Linked DNA regions of Mus musculus. The protein of the gene in region 1 interacts with the protein of each later gene in a biochemical or structural test. Links are inferred from orthologs where the notes say so. Each region holds a gene or a part of one and is shown on either strand. Other genes may lie near its edges.

Region 1 (6,562 bases):
TAGGCCAGGAAGTGGGTGTGGGAGGGCTGGGGAACAGTCGAAGGGGGGAGAGGATGGGGGTTTTTGGAAGGGAAACTAGGAAAGGGGATAACATTTGAAATGTAAATAAAGAAAATATCTAATTAAAAAAAAGAAGCCATTGAGCTAAAAAGCATATTAAAAATAAGCTGGTGTGTGTTTGTGTGTACATGTGGGGGGTCAGGGGATCTGTCTGACTTTCATCTGTGGATCCAGGATGGTGACTGGTAGCAAGGTCCACCCGGCGCTTAAAGCAGGGTAGTAGAAACTATATACAACAGGGTACACTACCTCATCTATAACCTTTGCATTCAGGAGATGAGATGAGAACATGGTGAGCCAGCCTGGGGACATGGAAAAATAACTGATGGTTAACCTTGACTGTCAACCAGACTGAATCTGAAAACAACTAAGAGACAGCCCTCTGGGTGGACCTGTGAAGTATGAACTGAAGGGAAGAGACTTTACAACAGAGTGTGTGTCACCTCCTACAAGCCAAGACAGGGAGGTCCAAGGGAAAAAGTGTTGCTTGCTTGCCTTCGCTTCTTGCTGGCAAGTGCTTCTATGCCATGATTTCTGCTACTGCCCTTCGCTGCTTCTTTCCAATACAAAGTGAAGATCAGCTCGCTCTCTAGGAATCCTCCAGGCTGTCAGTGCCAAACTGGCACTCCTGGCTGAGACATCTAGTCTTGTGGACTGAGTAGCTCCTAAGTCTTAACTCTCTCCATCATGAAGAGAACTACGAATGGATGATTCAGGCCATATCATGTAACCAATTTAATAGATCCTGTCCCCTAGTTTGGGGGTTTTTTTGTTTTGTTTTGTTTTGTTTTTCTGAGACAGAGTCCCTCTGTGTAGCCCTAGCAATCCTGGAACTCCCAGGCTACCCTCAAACTCAGAGCTCACTTTGCCTCTGCTTCCTTTTACTACCACATCTGGGCTAATCCAGATCTCTTGAGGTGGGAAGATCCACCTTTAAGCTGGACCACACCTTCTGCTGGCAGCCTATATAATGGGCATGAAAAAAGGAAGCTTTGCCAGTTTGATCTCGCTCTTACTGGCAAGTTCATTCCTTCACTGAGCACTAGTGAGCATACTTTTTTTTTAATTTATTATATGTAAATACATGGTAGTTGTCTTCAGATACCCCAAAAGAGGGTGTCAGATCTCATTACAGATGGTTGCAAGCCACCATGGTTGCTGGGATTTGAACTCAGGACCTTTGGAAGAGCAGTCAGTGCTCTTAACCACTGAGCCATCTCTCCAACCCCCTAGAGCATACTTCTACAAGATAGTAATGTATACTAAAGACCAACTAAGACATCCTGCCTGGATTCTTACTGGATTCTTACACCTCCCCTGGGTAGCCATTGTTGAATTAGCTGGACCATAGCATGTAAGCCACTCTAATTAGTCCCTATATATACATACATACATACTCATTCTATCAGTTCTGTTCCTCTAGAGAACCCTGACTAATACAAGTATCTTTCAAAACTGTCTCAGAATGAGCTAGGTCTCCACATTCAAATGAATAAATTTGAACCACATATGGTCGATATGTGTAATCCCAACTGAGACAAGATCAATGCAAGTTCAAGGCCCCAAGGAACTACACTGTGAGTTCCAAGCCCACCTGGGCTGCAGAATTCCTTGTCTCACAAACAAACTAGTAGAGCCTGATAAAAATGTGTGCCTATAAACCCAGCACTTAGGAAGTAGAGGCAGGAAGATCAAAAGTTCACAGCCAGGCTGAGCTACATAGTGAGTTCAAGGCTAACTCAGGCTACAATAGAATCTTTTTTCTGAAGAAAAAAGAAAAATTTGAGGCTAGCCTATGAAATTTAGCAAGATTCTATTTAAAAATAAAAATAAGGTAGCCAGGGATAGGACCTTGGATGTAGTTCAATGTAAGAGCTCTCTACTATGTGTAAGGCCTAAATCTGATCTTCAGTATGAACAGGGCCACCAGGAGGAGATAAACTCTACCACAGGGGCCCTGAGACTTCTGCTGCAACAACCTAACCACCTTCTTTTTTTTTTTCCTAACCACCTTCTTTAACTGTTTCTCTGAACACACACTATATCATATAACAAAGTGCCTTACCTAGATTGGAGAATCCATCCTGAAGAGCCCATAGCCGAGCCCAAGGGGCAGGACCAGGTTCTTCAGGTTCTTGGTCCTCAGGAATAGAACAGAGTTCCTGGGTAGACACTGTCTCCAGCGAGCTCAGAGTCCCAGAACTGGAGTGCGAGGACTGGCTGGAGGACGGCACTGTGCCGGTAGAGGAGCTGGACGAACCCTGATACTGTGAGAGCTCGTGCAACTGAGAAGGAGTGCCTTGGGGCTGGCTGAAGCCACCCTGGGACTGTGAACAGGAAGCACTGTCATGAGCCTTCGAGGAGGTGCTGCTGTGGGACTGATGATGACTCTTCATATCCGACCTCGAAAACAAGAGTCCAACAATAAGGAACAAGGCTCTGGATTCGAGAGTGGAGAAGGGGAGGGAGCAGGAGAGGACTCGGCAGGAAAGTGCACATACTATTCTTGCAGAACCCAAGTTTCCCTACGTTCTCAGCACCAAATCTGGCAGCTCGAGGTTTCCTATAACTCCAAAGTCAGTGGCTCTGTAGTGGATCTTGGCCTCTGCAATCACCAGAGCTCACACTTGCACTTTCCCACACAGATAACATAATTAAAAGTAAAGTAAATCTCTACCCAAAATTAGTCATGTGGCTGCTATAACTCAATGGTAGATGGTTCATCACTTCTCCAACAGAAGCAAAGTACTGGATCCCACTCCCAGTATTGTCAAACATACAAAATGAAGACAGTTAAGGAGTCAAGAGTACAGTTCCCAGCACCCACATCCAAAAGATCACAAACACCTGTAATTCCAGCTCTTGGTGATACAATGCCCTCTATTGGCCCCCGTGCGCACTGCACAGACTTAGACACGTGATTAAAAAAAATACATAAAGAAATTTAAAGGAACGGGCACATTATGACCACCTCAAAATGAAAGACAGGCCCATTCATGAGTGGGGAGAAAAAAAAGTGACCATAGCAAAATCCCAGGATTATGAATAGAATTCCAGAGGCCACTTACAAAGCATTACACCATCTTCCTTCATGTACAGAAGCTGAGAATGGCTTGGTTGTCTCCTATCCATTCCTTGCCATCCTACCCCTCACGTATGCTGAGTATGCAGACGTACCCTCTTCAGTTCCTGCAGAGCCTAGCAGCGAAGATCGGGTTCTCAGTAGGTATTTGGGGAAAGCCATCTAGGGGCTGGCATGAACATTTATAATGTTCGTTATGAAAACTACTTCGCTCTGGCAACGAACAGCCCGGCGTTGTGCCTTCCTATGTGCCCAGACCTGTTTCAGCTCACAAGGAACAAGGAAAGTGAACTTCCCCCCCGCTTCCCCCCCGCGCGCCCCAAGGGCAGATAAAAAGGAAGAATTGACTATGCACAGCGCCCCCTCGCTCGCACAAGAAAGCAGACAAAGCGGAAGCTGCAGAGGGCCCATTTGCACAAGAAGCATGAGAACGGTATTCGACTCCTCAAACACTTAAAGTTTCCCACTTATGACTCACCGCGTGAGACCACCAGGAGCCGCAAACACTGCACAGCCTCCGCCAGTGGAGTGGCGCTAAACCTACGGATACAAACTCCACCCTCAACCAATCAAAAAGCCTTCCTCCCCGGCAGGACCAGTAAGAAAGCCCGAAGATGACTGCCGCGATTAGTCTCAAGGCTTGCTGGGAGTTGTAGTTTAACATGCAGAACGGGACTCGACGTCTTGGTTTCCCGCGGCTAATCCCGCCTCCTCGACTCCCTTAACCAATCAGCAGCGAGACGGTCTTTCCTCCTTTCCCTCGGGTCTTGCTACCTAGGTCAGCGAGCGGCCGTCCCAATGTGGGGATGCGGAGCCCGTGCCCTGCTGGGTGTGTGGGAGGTGCGGCTGGCAGGGTTCCTGGGAAGGAGACTTTTGGGCAGCAATGCCGCCGCGGGGAAGAGCATTGCACCGCAGTGCTGGAACTGCGGTCACGCAAGGGAAGTCGGGTGTGGGGATGAGTTCTTCTGCTCACACTGCCGCGCTCTGCAGCCTCCTGACCCCACTCGTGACTACTTCAGCCTCATGAACTGGTACGGGCGGCGCGTCGTGACGGGAAAGCAGCTCGGGCTTCGTAACCCGAGCGATCTAGGCTTGGGGCCGCGTCTGCGGGGCTGTAATTTCCAGCCAGCTTGGGGGGGTCTGAGGCTGAGGACCACAGTTCAAAGCCATCTTAGGCAATTTGCCGAGACTGATTCAAAACAACTACAAAGATGGATAAGTGTAGGCCATAGGTATAAGTAGTACCTAGTGAGATTTTAGGAGTTTTCCTGAGACGGAGAGGAAATAAAGTTACAGACTGGAGAGAAGATAAGGGTGGAGGCGGGGGTCAAACAGGAGTGAAGTTGCAGATGCCTGTCTGTGATCTAAGCACTTGTAAAGTGGAAAACACAGGTTCAGGAATTCAAGACTAGCAGTAGCTACAAGGACCTTGTTTTTAAACATCAACAAACAGAAACGGACAAGTTTACGGTATAGGGAGGTTTGAGGGCTGAGACTTCTGGAAAATCCATTGGCCAAACTTACAGGAACTGGGAGAGGTTTTTGTTTGTTTGTTTGTTTGTTTTTTAATTTAGCCTCACCTTGAAGTCTCGCCTGGCCTGCCTGGAATTCCACCAACCCCCTCTGCCTCACCAATGCCAGGATTAAAAGCATGCTAGACAACCGTAGGAGATGATACCCCACTTGGAGGCCAACCACACAAATAGGGAACATCTCATCGCAAATAAATTATTTATTTAACGGAGAAAATAAATACAAAACAAGCCAGGTGTGTTGGTGTTATGCCTGTGAGTCCAGCACTCAGAGGGTACAGCTGAGCCTGTACGTTTGATGAGACTCTGGGCTACATGAGACTAGGTCTCAAAAACCGAAAGCAATTAAGAACAAAACAAACCTAGTGTAGTAGCCTATGTCTAAAATCCCAGTGTTCAGTAGGCTGAAGGAAAAGGGTCAAAAGTGGGAACCCAACATAGGCTAAGCAGTGAGACCCTGTCTCAAGAAAACAAAAATTTAATTCAGGCTGAGAATTTGAGGGAGAGACACCAAGAAGTGTTCTCTGTACTTTGTCCCCCCCCCCCTGCCTTTTCTCTTTTTTTAAGACTTATTGATTGTATGTAAGTACACTGTAGCTGTCTTCAGACACACCCGAAGAGGGCATCAGATCTCATTACGGATAGCTGTGAGTCACCATGTGGTTGCTGGGAATTGAACTCAGGACCTCTGGAAGAGCAGTCTGTGCTCTTAACCACTGAGCCATCTCTCCAGCCCCTCCACTCTGCCTTTTTCCTCCCCTGTCTCAGAGATTGGAGAGGTACCGAAGTGTGCGCAGAGTTGAACTAAAGATTAAAATGGGAGGGCCCGCTGTGGCTGTACTCAACTATGATCCCAACCTCCAGACAAAAGCAAAAAGATACAGAGTCCAGTTTGCATCCTACAGTCAGGGCTGCACAGTAGCAGACTGCACAGACTCAGTTGGAATCACTCCCTGGAAAGAAAGGAGTGCTGAATCCTTACTTCATAGTGGTGATAAAACACATCCTTGTATTAGCCAAGGTTTGGGTTCAAATCCCAGGACTATGCTTTAAAAGAATAAAAAAAAAAAAAAAAAAAAAAGCTGAGCAGTGGTGACGCACACCTTTAATCCCAGCACATGGGAGGCAGGGGCAGGCGGATTTCTGAATTCAAGGCCAGCCTGGTCTACAGAGTGAGTTCCAGGACAGCCAGGGCTACACAGAGAAACCCTTTCTCTAAAAAAACAAAAATAAATAAAGAATACCTGCTTCTAGTTATCAAAGGCTCTGTATAGTAGTCTCTATCTGTAATTCCAACTACTCAGGAAGCTAAAGGAGGAGGAGCAAAATTTTCAGCCCTGGGCAATTGAGTAACACCCAGGATTTCTTTTTTAAGTTGCTAAACTTGGCTATATAGCAAGTTTGGAGTCTATAAGGTATTTCTAGCTCTATTTCTCTCTCTCTCTCTCTCTCTCTCTCTCTCTCTCTCCCCCCTCCCCCTTCCCCTCCCCCTCCCCCTCCCCCTCTCCCTCTCCCACACCCAAATTTTGTAATGCCAAGGCTCTAGACCCAATGACATACCTGTTAGCCCACCTATAAAGAAGGCTAAAGTGTTGTCTTGAGGGTGATGTTGGTGGCCCACGCCTTGGGAGGCAGAGGCAGATGGATTTCTGAGTTCAAGGCCAGCCTGGTCTACAAAGTGAGTTCCAGGACAGCCAGGACTATACAGAGAAACCCTGTCTCAAAAACAAACAAACAAAAAAAAACAAAAAACAGAACAAGAAACTCTGTCTCAAAAAGTAAAACATTTGAAATGTAAATAAAGAAAATAACCAATAAGAAAATAAAAAAGTGGGGCAGGAGAGATGGCTCAGCGGTTAAGAGCACTGACTGCTCTTCCGAAGGTCCT
Region 2 (5,874 bases), on another chromosome or scaffold:
TTCTTTGTTTAAATGCCAACTGGGGTATTCTGGGTGGCCAAGTGGGGTGTCCTTGGCTTGGTCTCTCAAAGATGGTTTGTGGCAGCCTGGCTACTTCGTGGCCTGTATGTCACCTTTTTTTTAATCATGTGCTAGAAATTGCTCATGTGGAGGTGCCTCTCTTGGTTTCAGTGACTGTGAGAAAATGGAAGTGAGAAATAACAGCAGTCTACAGAGAATGGGCTCCTCAGAATCGACCGATTCAGGTATTGCCATTACTGTTCATGTGTGTCTATGTATGTGCTCGTGTGTGTTTAGATCAGAAGGCATCAGAGCCGCTGGAGCTGGAGTTACAGGCCATTGTGAGCTGCCTGATATGGCTGCTGGGAACTGAATTTGTCCCCTCTACAGGAGCACCAAGTGCTACTAACCACTAAGCCACTTATTTTTAAGAATTTAATTAAATCAATTTATTTATTTTGAGACAGGGTCTCACCATGTAGATCACATTGGCCTCTTGCCTCTTGAGTGCTGTGGTTAAAGGCATGGGCCACCATCCATCCCCCTGACCACTCCAGGTGTCCGTTCAGCCTTCACATTCATCTGGAGTCAGCCATTCGGGAAGCATCTTGCCTAGGAATTTAATTGGCAACAGTACACATAGAAATTGTGGTGTGGTGTGGTGTGGTGTGAAGTGACAAACACCCTTTAGTAGAGTACAGAGGAAGCTCCTGAGACAGTTTATGAAGAGAAGAAGCGCCAAATCTTTATTCCAGTTCTTTTTTCTTTTTTTTTTTTTTAATGTGTGCTTTTATATATGTGGATGTTGGCTCACATGCCTCTCGTGTGTGCATGTGGTGTGTACTTTCCTCAAAGGCCAGGAGAGGGTGTCGGATCCCTTGGAACTGAGTTACTGGCGTTAGCATGTGGTGGCTGGGAATTGAACTCAGGTCCTCTACAAGAGCAATTGTGCTCTTCTGAAACATCTCTCTAACGCTACTTTTTGAAGACACAGTGTCACTATATACACCAGATTGGCCCCTTGGAACTGAACTTACCTGGTTGTATTTTTCATACCCCTAAATGAGTACATTTGAAAAAATAACTCCACAAAAACTTAGAGGGGTCAGTACTATCTGGGGAAAAAAAAATCAGTCAATCTTGATATTAGTTGGCCTCTTCAATCTTGTTTCCCTTGATGGTATTTGCAAATAGAGGATCCATGGGTGCACTTAGGAAATGTTGCTTAACACCAGAATGTGTATTACTTCCTAAGAATTTTGTTTTTATTTCTCAAAGGTTTCTGTCTAGATTCTCCTGGGCCCTTGGACAGTAAAGAAAAGTATGTATTCGTTACTTTAAAATTTTCTACTTAGAAGGAAAGTTTTCCTTAAGTAAGCCCAGTGGCACAGGCCTGCGGTCTCAGCTACTCGGGAAGTTAAGGCGAAAGGATCAGACACTCAAGGCCTGTCTGGGCAATGTAGTAAGATCCTGTCTCAAAGTGCAAAGAGCACCCGACTGCTCTTCCAAAGGTCCCGAGTTCAAATCCCAGCAACCACATGGTGGCTCACAACCATCCCTAATGAGATCTGACTCCCTCTTCTGGTGTCTGAAGACAGCTGCAGTGTACTTACATATAATTAATTAATAAATAAATAAATAAATAAATAAATAAAGTGCAAACTCGGTGATAGAGTGCTCGTGTGGTATGTGAGGCCCCAGGCAGGGTGAATCCCTAGAACCTCCCAAAAGGAAGAAACTTGTTGGTTAGCTTTTGATATGGAATCTCATTTTGAAGCCCTGGCTTGCCTGCCTGCCTCATGGGTGCTGGGTTAAAGGTATGCGCTGTTGCTCCTGGTCAAAACTTAATTTTTGAATAACGTTCTTCATACAGTGGACTAGAGCTCTGTAGTTAGCTGTGCCTGCTGAGTTGCTCGGATGCTAGAAACACTACTGGGAATGAGTGCTGCTTCATACCAGCAGTTTGCAGGACTTCCCCCCCTTTAGGTTAGCTGTAATTTCCCCTGCTCTCCTTTTTGACGTTAGGCCTTAAATGAACGGATGTATGTATTGTAGGAGACATCTTGGGGTTTGGGTTGGGTTGGTTTTTTCGATCTGGGGCGCTCCTGAGATCAGAGAACACTATTCTTGTATATGCTACAATGAGAACCATGCCATGCCCCTACTCTAGGTTGAGCAATGTGAATCTGCTCATATGAATATCTCTTTATTCTTATGTTTACCTTTTTGATCTCATTACAGCCTTGAAATTTCCCTGACGAGAATAAATTCCCTACCTGTAAGTTCTGTTGTTTTGAGCTAATACCTGTAAATTGCTCCATCAAACACCTTTCCCTACGATGAGAAAGTGGGCATTGCTTTTCTACATCCCTGTAAACACATAGGCAGTAAGGTATTACCTAGAGGAACTTCAACAGTAACAGCCTCTTGTGGACTTTGTACTCACCTCAGTTTTATCAAACCAGGAAATGTTCTTTTTATGCAAATGTTACTAGGGGGTTGGTATGGCACTATATCATACCTGCCAAGAGGTCAATGCACCTTGTCTGATTAGGTGGAAGGCCATTCTGAGTTAGAGCAGGTTGAACCCCTGGGCACTTATGTGGTGGTAAGCTAGTTTTTCCAAACCCCACTTCATTTCTTTAAGAATTAAAGTTTTGGCTGGGTATAATAGGTCAAACATGTAATCTTAGCATTTGGGAGGCTGAGGCAGGAAGGTCATCTCAAGTTCAAGGCCAGCCTTGTCTTCAAAGTGAAACCTTATCTTAAAAAAAGAAAAAGGTAACCTGAGTTTTCCATTGTGCTTGCCTCTGTGAACTCAATTTCTCTGTTTTACTTTGATAGCAGAAGCTCCTGGGATGTAGCCCAGCCCTGAAGAGGAGCCACTCTGATTCTCTAGACCACGACACCTTTCACCTCATCGACCAGGATGAAAATAAAGAAAATGTAAGCATAGCATCACCATGGCAACCCCAGCTGGCAGTGAAACCTAAGTGTCTGTCAGCAGCTGACAAGTGACATGGTTGGGCTGCCATCTAACCTGACTAATGGAAAGGCCACACCTAGCCTCTCAGTAGAGAAATCTGATTTTGAATCTTGCTTCTTCTACCTAGCTTTGTGATGCTGGAGTTTTGCTAGGCCAGCGCCTTTTTCCTGTACCTTATTTCCTCCGATGAGTATCTGTCACATTTATAAACACTGGATTGAAACGCTAAAATCCAAAGCCATGCAAGTTCTGTGGAGAATATCTGAAATGGTTGCTTTGAGGATGGTGTGTTTTATCCAGAAGTCCATGTGTGCCCTGCCTGGCTTTCTCTCTTAAACTGTACAGGGTGTCTTGTCTAGAATAGTTGGTCAGATTGATTGGCTTGCCTCTCGGCCACTCTATTTCCATATATTTGTTGTTTCCCATTTCCTGCCAAAATACCAGTCAATAACCCTTACAAAACCTACGTCTTGTATGAAAGCAGATTTTGTCTGGCAACTTAGGGAGACATCATGAGGTATTCCATGCAAATGGATTCCCTCCTTGACTGCTTGGAGCAGTTTGTCAACCTTTCCAGTACAACTGGACCAAAGTCTAGATGTAGCTCTTGACTCAAACTTGACTTCTCCCAAGGTTGTCTTCCTGGAAGCTTTGCTCTAAAGGAGAAATAGATAGATTAAATAACTTTCTGGAGTGGTCCTCTCTGGCTTCAAGATCGTAGGCACACCATTGAACCTGTAGATGTAGTTTTCTTACTGAACAGGCAGGTTGTATTTGATGATTAGATAAGCTTATGTTCAGAGAGTACTTAGTAATAAAAACTGATATTAGCAGTTACTGGTTTTAGTACTTAATAACAAGTGTGCTTCTGTAACTTAAAGATAGGCATGCATCTTTCTGCACATGGTGTTCTGCTTTGGTGTATGTCTGTGTACCATGTATGTTCCTGGTGTCTGCAAAGGCCTGAAGAGGGTGTCAGATCCCCTGAAACAAATTACTGATGGTTGTAAGCCAACCTGTGGGTACTGGGAATCAAACCTGGGTCTTTTAGAACTGTGTTCTCCAGTTGTGGGGGTTGCACATCTTTAATCCCAGCACTTGGGAGACAGGCAGGTGGACAAGGGCAGCATGGTGTACAGACTGAGGTCCAGGACAGTCACGGCTCCAGGAAGAAACCCTGTCTCAGAATACAGAATACAGAATGAATGAATTGAAAGGAACTCTGCTCTTACTGCTAAGCCATCTCTCTAGACTCAACAAATTTTCCTTAATTTTATTTAGTGAAAGAGAAAGCCTTGGGTGGGAGCGTGCCGCGGTGCACATGAAGACAGGTCAGCTTTCAGGAGTGTGTTCTCTCTCCACTGTGTGGGGTACAGGGATGGGATTCTAATCCATCTTCAGGCTTCCCAGAAAGTGTATTTACCAGCCAAGCCACCCCACCAGCCCTAGAGCTGTTTTATGGACAGTAGAAAATATTTCAAATATGTTGTTTTGCAGGAAGCATTTGAATTTAAAAAGCCAATACGACCTGCATCTCGTCACATCTACGAGGAGAGTAAAGATCCCTTTACACACAGGCAGAATTCAGCCCCAGCTCGGATGGTACGTGGTTTGGCTTTCGTATTTACAACATGGAGAGTGTGTGTGTGTGTGTGTGTGTGTGTGTGTGTGTGTGTGGCTTTCGTATTTACAACATGGAGAGTGTGTGTGTGTGTGTGTGTGTGTGTGTGTGTGTGTGTGTGTGTGCGCGCGCGCGCTGTGGCATCTGGAAGGTAGAGGGAGGAGGGCCAGGAGTTCAAGGTTGTGCTCAGCTCTGCTATGATTTAAGAACAGCCTGGGCTACATGAAATCCTGTTTCAAAAACAGAAAAGCAAGTTTACTGTTATTGTTTGATGGCTCATGGCTGAGGCCTATGAATTAACTGGAGTTGCCTCATTTGGCAGATTAGAAAGTTTCATTAGAGAAGTTGATATACTCATCAAAGGACATGTAAAAACACTAGAATTTAACTATAGGTTCCTCAGTACATGATAATAGTTTGAAAATATATCTGAAACTGATTGGTTTTGGTAGACACTTGGGAGTGAGAGTGCTAAGATCTGTAACTGCCTAAGCATTAAGAGCACCTGTATTATGGATGCTGGGGATGCAGACTTTAAAAGCCTGTGCTTATCTACTGGTTTGGCTTTTGTTTGGACTGGAGAGTTTGCTGTTACTCGCAATTTTTTTTTGAGACAGAATCCCTTAAATCCCTAGGCTAGCCTCAAATTTGTCAAAACTAGTCTTGAATTCTTTTTGCTCCTGCCTGTAGGATCACAAGTGTTTGCCACTACACCAAATTCGTTTTCAAGGTAGGGCATTGCATAGATGAGGTGTATGATCTTGGTACCCCTTAAGCATCAGTTTCAAGAAACAAAAAGCAAAAGATTATTTGGCTATGTCGACACACGTAGTCCCAGCTACACCTGGGACTGAGATAGAATGAACACTGGGAACACTTAGTCACAATGAAGAAAAAAGAGATTGACTACCAGAAGCGAGTGGTGTGCCTTAAATGGGACTATAGTTGTAAAGATTTTGTTGCTGTCTAGGACATCATAATCCCTCATTTAAATACTGGGCAGCTGTCATTTTAGTTTAAATCACTTTTTTTAATTTTGTGGAGCGGGGTGGTATGCACACATGCATATAGCTGCCCTAGGAGGCCAGGGCCTTAGGATCATGTGAAGCTGGAACTACAGGCAGCTGTGAGCTGTCTGATGGAGATACTGGAAATTAAACTCAAAGTTTCTCCAAGAGCAGTATTTGCTCTTACCCATGGAGCCATCCTTCCAGCACCAGCTTCTTTAGTCCTAATGGAGAGCTAGGTTAGAGGCCAAACTTGGTAG
Region 3 (5,874 bases), on another chromosome or scaffold:
TGCTTCGGTTTAATGCCCTGACTGAAGTGTAGTGCTGAAATGCTATAGAAGCAGGTTTGACTCTGGTGAGGCCTTAAGCTACACTGCATCACAATGATCCGAGAAGTGATACTTTCAGTGATTTGGGATTAGGATTTAATAACAACTCTCTCAAGTGCTCAGACCAGGATGCCAGGTGGAAGAAATAATTTTGTATCACAGCAGTGAACAGTCTGGAAATAGAAATTTAAAAAGAATAGTACTTTGAATATCTAGTAAGTCAATGAGTAAAAGATATTTTAACGCATTTGATTTTCATTCCCTTACTAGTTACCTAATATCTACCTCTGCCTAACACAGTGAATACTTTTGCACGTTATCCTTCCTCTGACATTTAAAGTATCTACCACAACCCTTTTAACTCAGAACCCTTGCTTTCAACCTCTGTGACATCTCTCTTTTGGTTTCCTCCTTTATTTATGGCTCAGTTAAGGTATCGCTGTTCTGTGTACACACTGTAAACAAGCCTGGAGAGAGTGAATGGCATGGTAATTTTTAGCTGACTATTTTTCTCAGTCACTGGACGGCTGAATATTTGAAAACAGAGCAGTAATCTTTGAAATCTGTAATTCCAGTTCTAGTGGTAAACACCTACTATAAACAATGTGACTTAATACTTTTTTAAAAAAAAAGATGTATTTATCTATTTAATGTATGTGAGTACACTGTAGCTGTACAGATGGTTGTGAGCCTTCATGTAGTTGTTGGGAATTAAATTTTGGATCTTTGCTCGCTTCAGTCAACCCTGCTCGCTCAGTCCCTGCTCGCTTTCGCCCAAAGATTTATTTATTATTATAAATAAGTACACTGTAGCTGTCTTCAGACACACCAGAAGAGGGCATCAGATTTCATTACGAGTGGTTGTAAGCCACCATATGGTTGCTGGGATTTGAACTCAGGACCTTTGGAAGAGCAGTAAGTGCTCTTACCCACTGAGCCATCTCACCAGCTTGTCTTAATGCTTTTCAAAGTACATAATAAATGAAAATTAAGAACTGGGCATGGTAGTCCATATTTATAATTCCAGCCTTAACAGACCAATGCAGAGGATTACAAGTTGAAGGCCAGAATGGGATATATAGCAAGATGTTACTTGAAAAGGAAGAAAATGAAGGCTCTGAAACTACAATGATATAATTTCATCAATATAATATTAAACTCTGAGTCGTCTGTGGGATATAGACTGCTTTTATTGTTGAAATTTCATCTTATAAGGGGGGGAAAAAATCACAGGCTTCAAAACATACCTAGCCACTGTTGCTGAGATACTTCACACCAGTATTTTCTCACAGAAAGAATGTCTTTGAGTAGTATGTTGCTACAGTCAGCTCCATACGTTAGACCATTAGATGAGTCTTTCACTGTATCCATGACATAATTCAAGAGGTCTTGACATTTTAGCCTGGGTGCTCCTATTTAAAAATAAAACAAAATAGTAAAAATGTATAGATCATAAAAATAAAGACTCCTTCAGAGTGCCAACTTTTTTTGTTGTTTTGTTTTTCGAGACAGGGTTTCTCTGTGTAGCCCTGGCTGTCCTGGAACTCACTTTGTAGACCAGGCTGGCCTCGAACTCAGAAATCCACCTGCCTCTGCCTCCAAAGTGCTGGGATTAAAGGCGTGCACCACCACGCCCAGCTAAGTGCCAACTTCTTTAAGTGATTCCATTCAGCAAGTTTCTCTTAACTCACTCTCATAGTTTCTCTCAACAGGGTAGCCCCTAAGTAAAATTCAACTGGTTGGCCATTTTGTTAATAAAGTTTAACTGGAACACAATCACATTTCTGCATTTAATACTGTAAATGACAAGAAATGAGTATCTGCAATGGATAATATATGACCCAGAAAGTTAAAGAAAAAGAAAACATTTGCTAGATAGCACCATTAAAGATTAAATTTACCAACCTCTAAAAATACAGCAAAAATAGATTAATTTTTATACTGAACTCACAATTTGTGGCACTGGAATTAAAAGGATTCTAAGTCACTGAGCAGCTTTATGAATAAATTTATTAAAATAATCTTGAAATATTCTATTAAGAATAGCCTAGCTACTCTAAAAAGCAAGATTATTTCCATTACATCTAAACAGAAGACAAATAGCATACATATAGAAAAGGCTGAAGTTTTAACAGCACAATAGTTTAGATTCTGAAAATTCATTGCTAATAAATGTTCTTCTAAAATGGGTATGTGCATGGGTGTTTTGCTTCCATGTATGTCTGTGCACTGCATGCATGCAGTGCCTCAGAAATCAGAAGAAGGCTCCAGATCTTTAAGGACTGAATTTATACATGGTTGAGAGCTCCCATGTGGGTGCTAAGAATCAAATCCAAGTCTTCCGGAAAGGCAGCCAGTGTAATCTCCCCCACCCCTAAATGTATATTTTTAAAGATCACAAAATTACATTTAAAAACAAAATTATGCCAGGAACAGTATTACACACCAATAATCCAAATAGTCCTTGGTTAGGGCAAGATTCTGGTTAAGGTATCATTCTTCACTATACAGTAAGTAAGTTTAAGACCATCTTGGTGGGGCTGGAGAGATGGCCCAGTGGTTAAGAGCACTGACTGCTCTTCCAGAGGTCCTGAGTCAAATCCCAGCAACCACATGGTGGCTCACAACCATCCGTAATGAGATCTGACACCCTCTTCTGGAGTGTCTGAAGACAGCTATAGTGTACACATAAATATATAAATCTTAAAAAATAAAAGTGACCATCTTGGGCCACAAGGAAACCCTATCTAAAGAAAAGGGAGGGCAGGGTTTAAGTTTACCTTTAGGGTGTGTCAGCCTGTAACTCCAGGTAAAGGCTATAGCCAAGGCTACAGAAATTAAAATGTTTATTTTGTAGTTTCCAATTTGTCTTAGTCAGGGTTTCTATTCCTGCACAAACATCATGACCAAAAAGCAAGTTGGGGAGAAAAGGGTTTTTTCAGCTTACACTTCCACACTGCTGTTCATCACCAAAGGAGGTCAGGACTGGAACTCAAGCAGATCAGGAAGCAGGAGCTGATGCAGAGGCCATGGAGGGATATTCCTTACTGGCTTGCTTTTTATAAAATCATACTGACATCGAAACTAAAAGACCATGGTTTCTTCAGTACTGACTTCATTTTGAAATTGAACTACAGGTAGGATGAAACTCAATATGCATAAGTAAAATGTGTTAGATTAGCATTTTCTTAATGATGAGACTGGCTACACTCAGGAGGGTCAGGCTATGGTAAGTACGCAATGCTATCACAGTATAAATAGCAGCTTTCACTCATGGCTTATGATTCCGGGCGTGTGACCCATGACAATGCCCACGTCTGCATGATCCTTTTCTATAGTCCTTGGCTATCTCTCCCACAGTTTCTGAAATACTTTTTTATATACAGTATTTGTTGTACTGTCAGATTTTGGAAAGGAATAATTTACCACAAATGCCCAAGACCAACAATAGACAATAAATAAAGTTAACTTCATAAATATTAAGATGAAATCTTAATTTTCTGTCTCCTTTTGCCCAGAACATTCTCTTTCTCTGCCAAACACAATTGTTTTAAAATTTATGTTTTTATTTCCTAATTCTCTCAGTCGAGATTAAAACTCAGTAGCACAGTACTGCCCAGCATGCATAAACCATGGGTTTTTGTACCTACCATTGCAAAAGAACAAACAAAAATAACATTTAAAAAAAAAAAACAAGTAAATAGACTAAATTTGACTACAAGAGGCTAGTGTTATCTCAAAATAATAAATGTAAAGAATAAATGCTGGGGTGATAGCTTAGTTGGTAAAATGCTTACCTTACAAGGATGAGGACCTACATTTGACCTGCCAGACCCTACATAAAAAAGTTGAGCATTGTGGCATGCACTTGTAATCCTAGCACAAAAAAGACAGGACTCAGGGGCTTGTTGACCAGAAAACCTGGACTATTTAGCAACCTCCAAAACACAAGCAGACCTCCCATTTACCAAAATACCCGTGTGCACCCACCACATATATGCGTGAGCACGAAAATGAATGAATGAATGAGTAAGTACAGAGCCAGCATGGGGGCACATATTTGCAATCCAGGAACTGAAGAAGATATGAGGCACCAGGATCACATATCTGAGGCCAACCTGGGCTACACTGAAAGACCCTATTTCAAAAAACAAAACTGAAACAAATATGCTGTAGGCTGTACCAACTAGATAATACTACAAGACTGATGCCACTCTTTAAGAAATAACAAACTCAAGAATATTAAAGAGAAAGTGAAATTAAAACTATGTCAATGAGCTGAAGGAATTAGGTCCATTTAATTTAGGGAAAGATCACTCAGGAATGCTATGGTTATTTTCAAATACATCAAATGATATCATGTGGAAATAAATACCAGGTTTTCTGTGTATAATTTATGCAGCTAGAGGGGTGGAGATATGGCTTACTGGTTAAGAGCATTTGATGCTCTTGCAGAGGATCTGGGTTTGGTTCCCAGCACTCACATGTAACTACCCAGTTCCAGAGGATTCTCCTGACTTCTTCAAGAACTGGAATATGTAGTGTATTTACATACATGCAGACAGAACCACTCATACACATAAATAAGCAAACCTTAAAAAAAAAAAAAAAAAGGAGATGGAGAGATGGCTCCACGGTTGAGAGCACTCACTGACTGCTCTTCCAGAGGTCCTGAGTTCAGTTCCCAGCAACCACAGGGTGGCTCACAACCATCTGTAATGGGATCTGATGCCCTATTCTGATGTGTTGGAAGACAGTGACAGTGTGCTCACATATATAAAACAAAAAAATCTTTAAAAATAAAAAGAGCAGTAATCGATGAAAGTAAACTTTAAAAACAATGTTTTTTTTTACACATTTTCTGAGTATTTACTTTGTGTGCACTCACATGCTCACACGTGCACTAAATCAGCCATGCCTTGGTGCCTGTGTAGGGGTCATAGGACAACTTGGAAGCGTTGGTTTTCTCCATCGTTTCGGTTCTTGGGCTCAAACGGAGGCCACCAGGCTTGCTGGCAAAGATTCTTTTTTTTTTTTTTTGGTTTTTCGAGACAGGGTTTCTCTGTGTAGCCCTGGCTGTCCTGGAACTCACTTTGTAGACCAGGCTGGCCTCGAACTCAGAAATCCGCCTGCCTCTGCCTCCCGAGTGCTGGGATTAAAGGCGTGCGCCACCACGCCCGGCACTGGCAAAGATTCTTTACCTGGCAAGCCATCTCACTGGCCTGACAGCAATTTATACCCTTAAAGTTATTCAGCCTCCTTAAGACTGCACTTCTGCTGATGTATAAAAACACGTAGAGGGAATACAAGAATGGGGAACTGAAACATTAATTTTTAATCTTTCCACTTCTGAGATTAAACATTTTATGCTAAATTACTCTAAATTTTGGACCTACTATATGAAAAGCCAGTGTAATGCTAGGAATTTCAAGGAGAACTTAATTTTTATGCTACTGTATTAAGATCAAATTTATGCTACGCTAACTCCTGAAGCATTTGTGTGTAATACATGATGTTGTTTACGTTTTTTGTTGCTTTGGGTTTTTTGAGGCAGGGTTTCTCTGTGTAGCCCTGGCTGTCCTGGAACTCACTCTATAGTCCAGGCTAGGCTATAGATCCACCTGCCTCTGCCTTTTGAGTGCTGGGACTAAAGGTGTGCGCCACCACAGCAGTGTGTGCCACCACACGCAGCCAAGGTTACTTACTTTTGTTTGCACATTTGATGAAGTATCTGACCAAACTGCTGATCTCTTGCATCTTCTTCTGTCTGGAGCTCTGTGTGGTGGCTGATACATTTGATTTTGCTGTTCTCAGACTTTCCATTTCTTTTTGAAT

The links.
Region 2: of the proteins of Chek2 (region 1) and Cdc25a, one has a biochemical effect on the other in vitro, tested with the Homo sapiens proteins (5 studies listed by BioGRID, with this or other methods). The link is inferred for Mus musculus from reciprocal best matches to the Homo sapiens genes CHEK2 and CDC25A.
Region 3: of the proteins of Chek2 (region 1) and Atm, one has a biochemical effect on the other in vitro, tested with the Homo sapiens proteins (6 studies listed by BioGRID, with this or other methods). The link is inferred for Mus musculus from reciprocal best matches to the Homo sapiens genes CHEK2 and ATM.

Annotation. Positions count from the first base shown.
Region 1 is NC_000071.6:110,837,107-110,843,668, reverse strand, and holds the start of Chek2 (serine/threonine-protein kinase Chk2), read right to left. Parts: upstream 3,621-6,562; intron 3,259-3,620; exon of another isoform or gene 3,129-3,258; intron 2,464-3,128; 5' UTR 2,457-2,463; coding exon 2,126-2,456; intron 1-2,125. Other genes in the region: iron-sulfur cluster co-chaperone protein HscB isoform 1 precursor, read left to right, coding at 3,941-4,173. UniProt on the Homo sapiens protein: Serine/threonine-protein kinase which is required for checkpoint-mediated cell cycle arrest, activation of DNA repair and apoptosis in response to the presence of DNA double-strand breaks.
Region 2 is NC_000075.6:109,876,990-109,882,863, forward strand, and holds part of Cdc25a (M-phase inducer phosphatase 1), read left to right. Parts: intron 1-171; coding exon 172-245; intron 246-1,278; coding exon 1,279-1,321; intron 1,322-2,241; coding exon 2,242-2,278; intron 2,279-2,844; coding exon 2,845-2,946; intron 2,947-4,483; coding exon 4,484-4,588; intron 4,589-5,874. UniProt on the Homo sapiens protein: Tyrosine protein phosphatase which functions as a dosage-dependent inducer of mitotic progression. Directly dephosphorylates CDK1 and stimulates its kinase activity. Also dephosphorylates CDK2 in complex with cyclin-E, in vitro.
Region 3 is NC_000075.6:53,525,887-53,531,760, forward strand, and holds part of Atm (serine-protein kinase ATM), read right to left. Parts: coding exon 5,745-5,874; intron 1,452-5,744; coding exon 1,287-1,451; intron 1-1,286.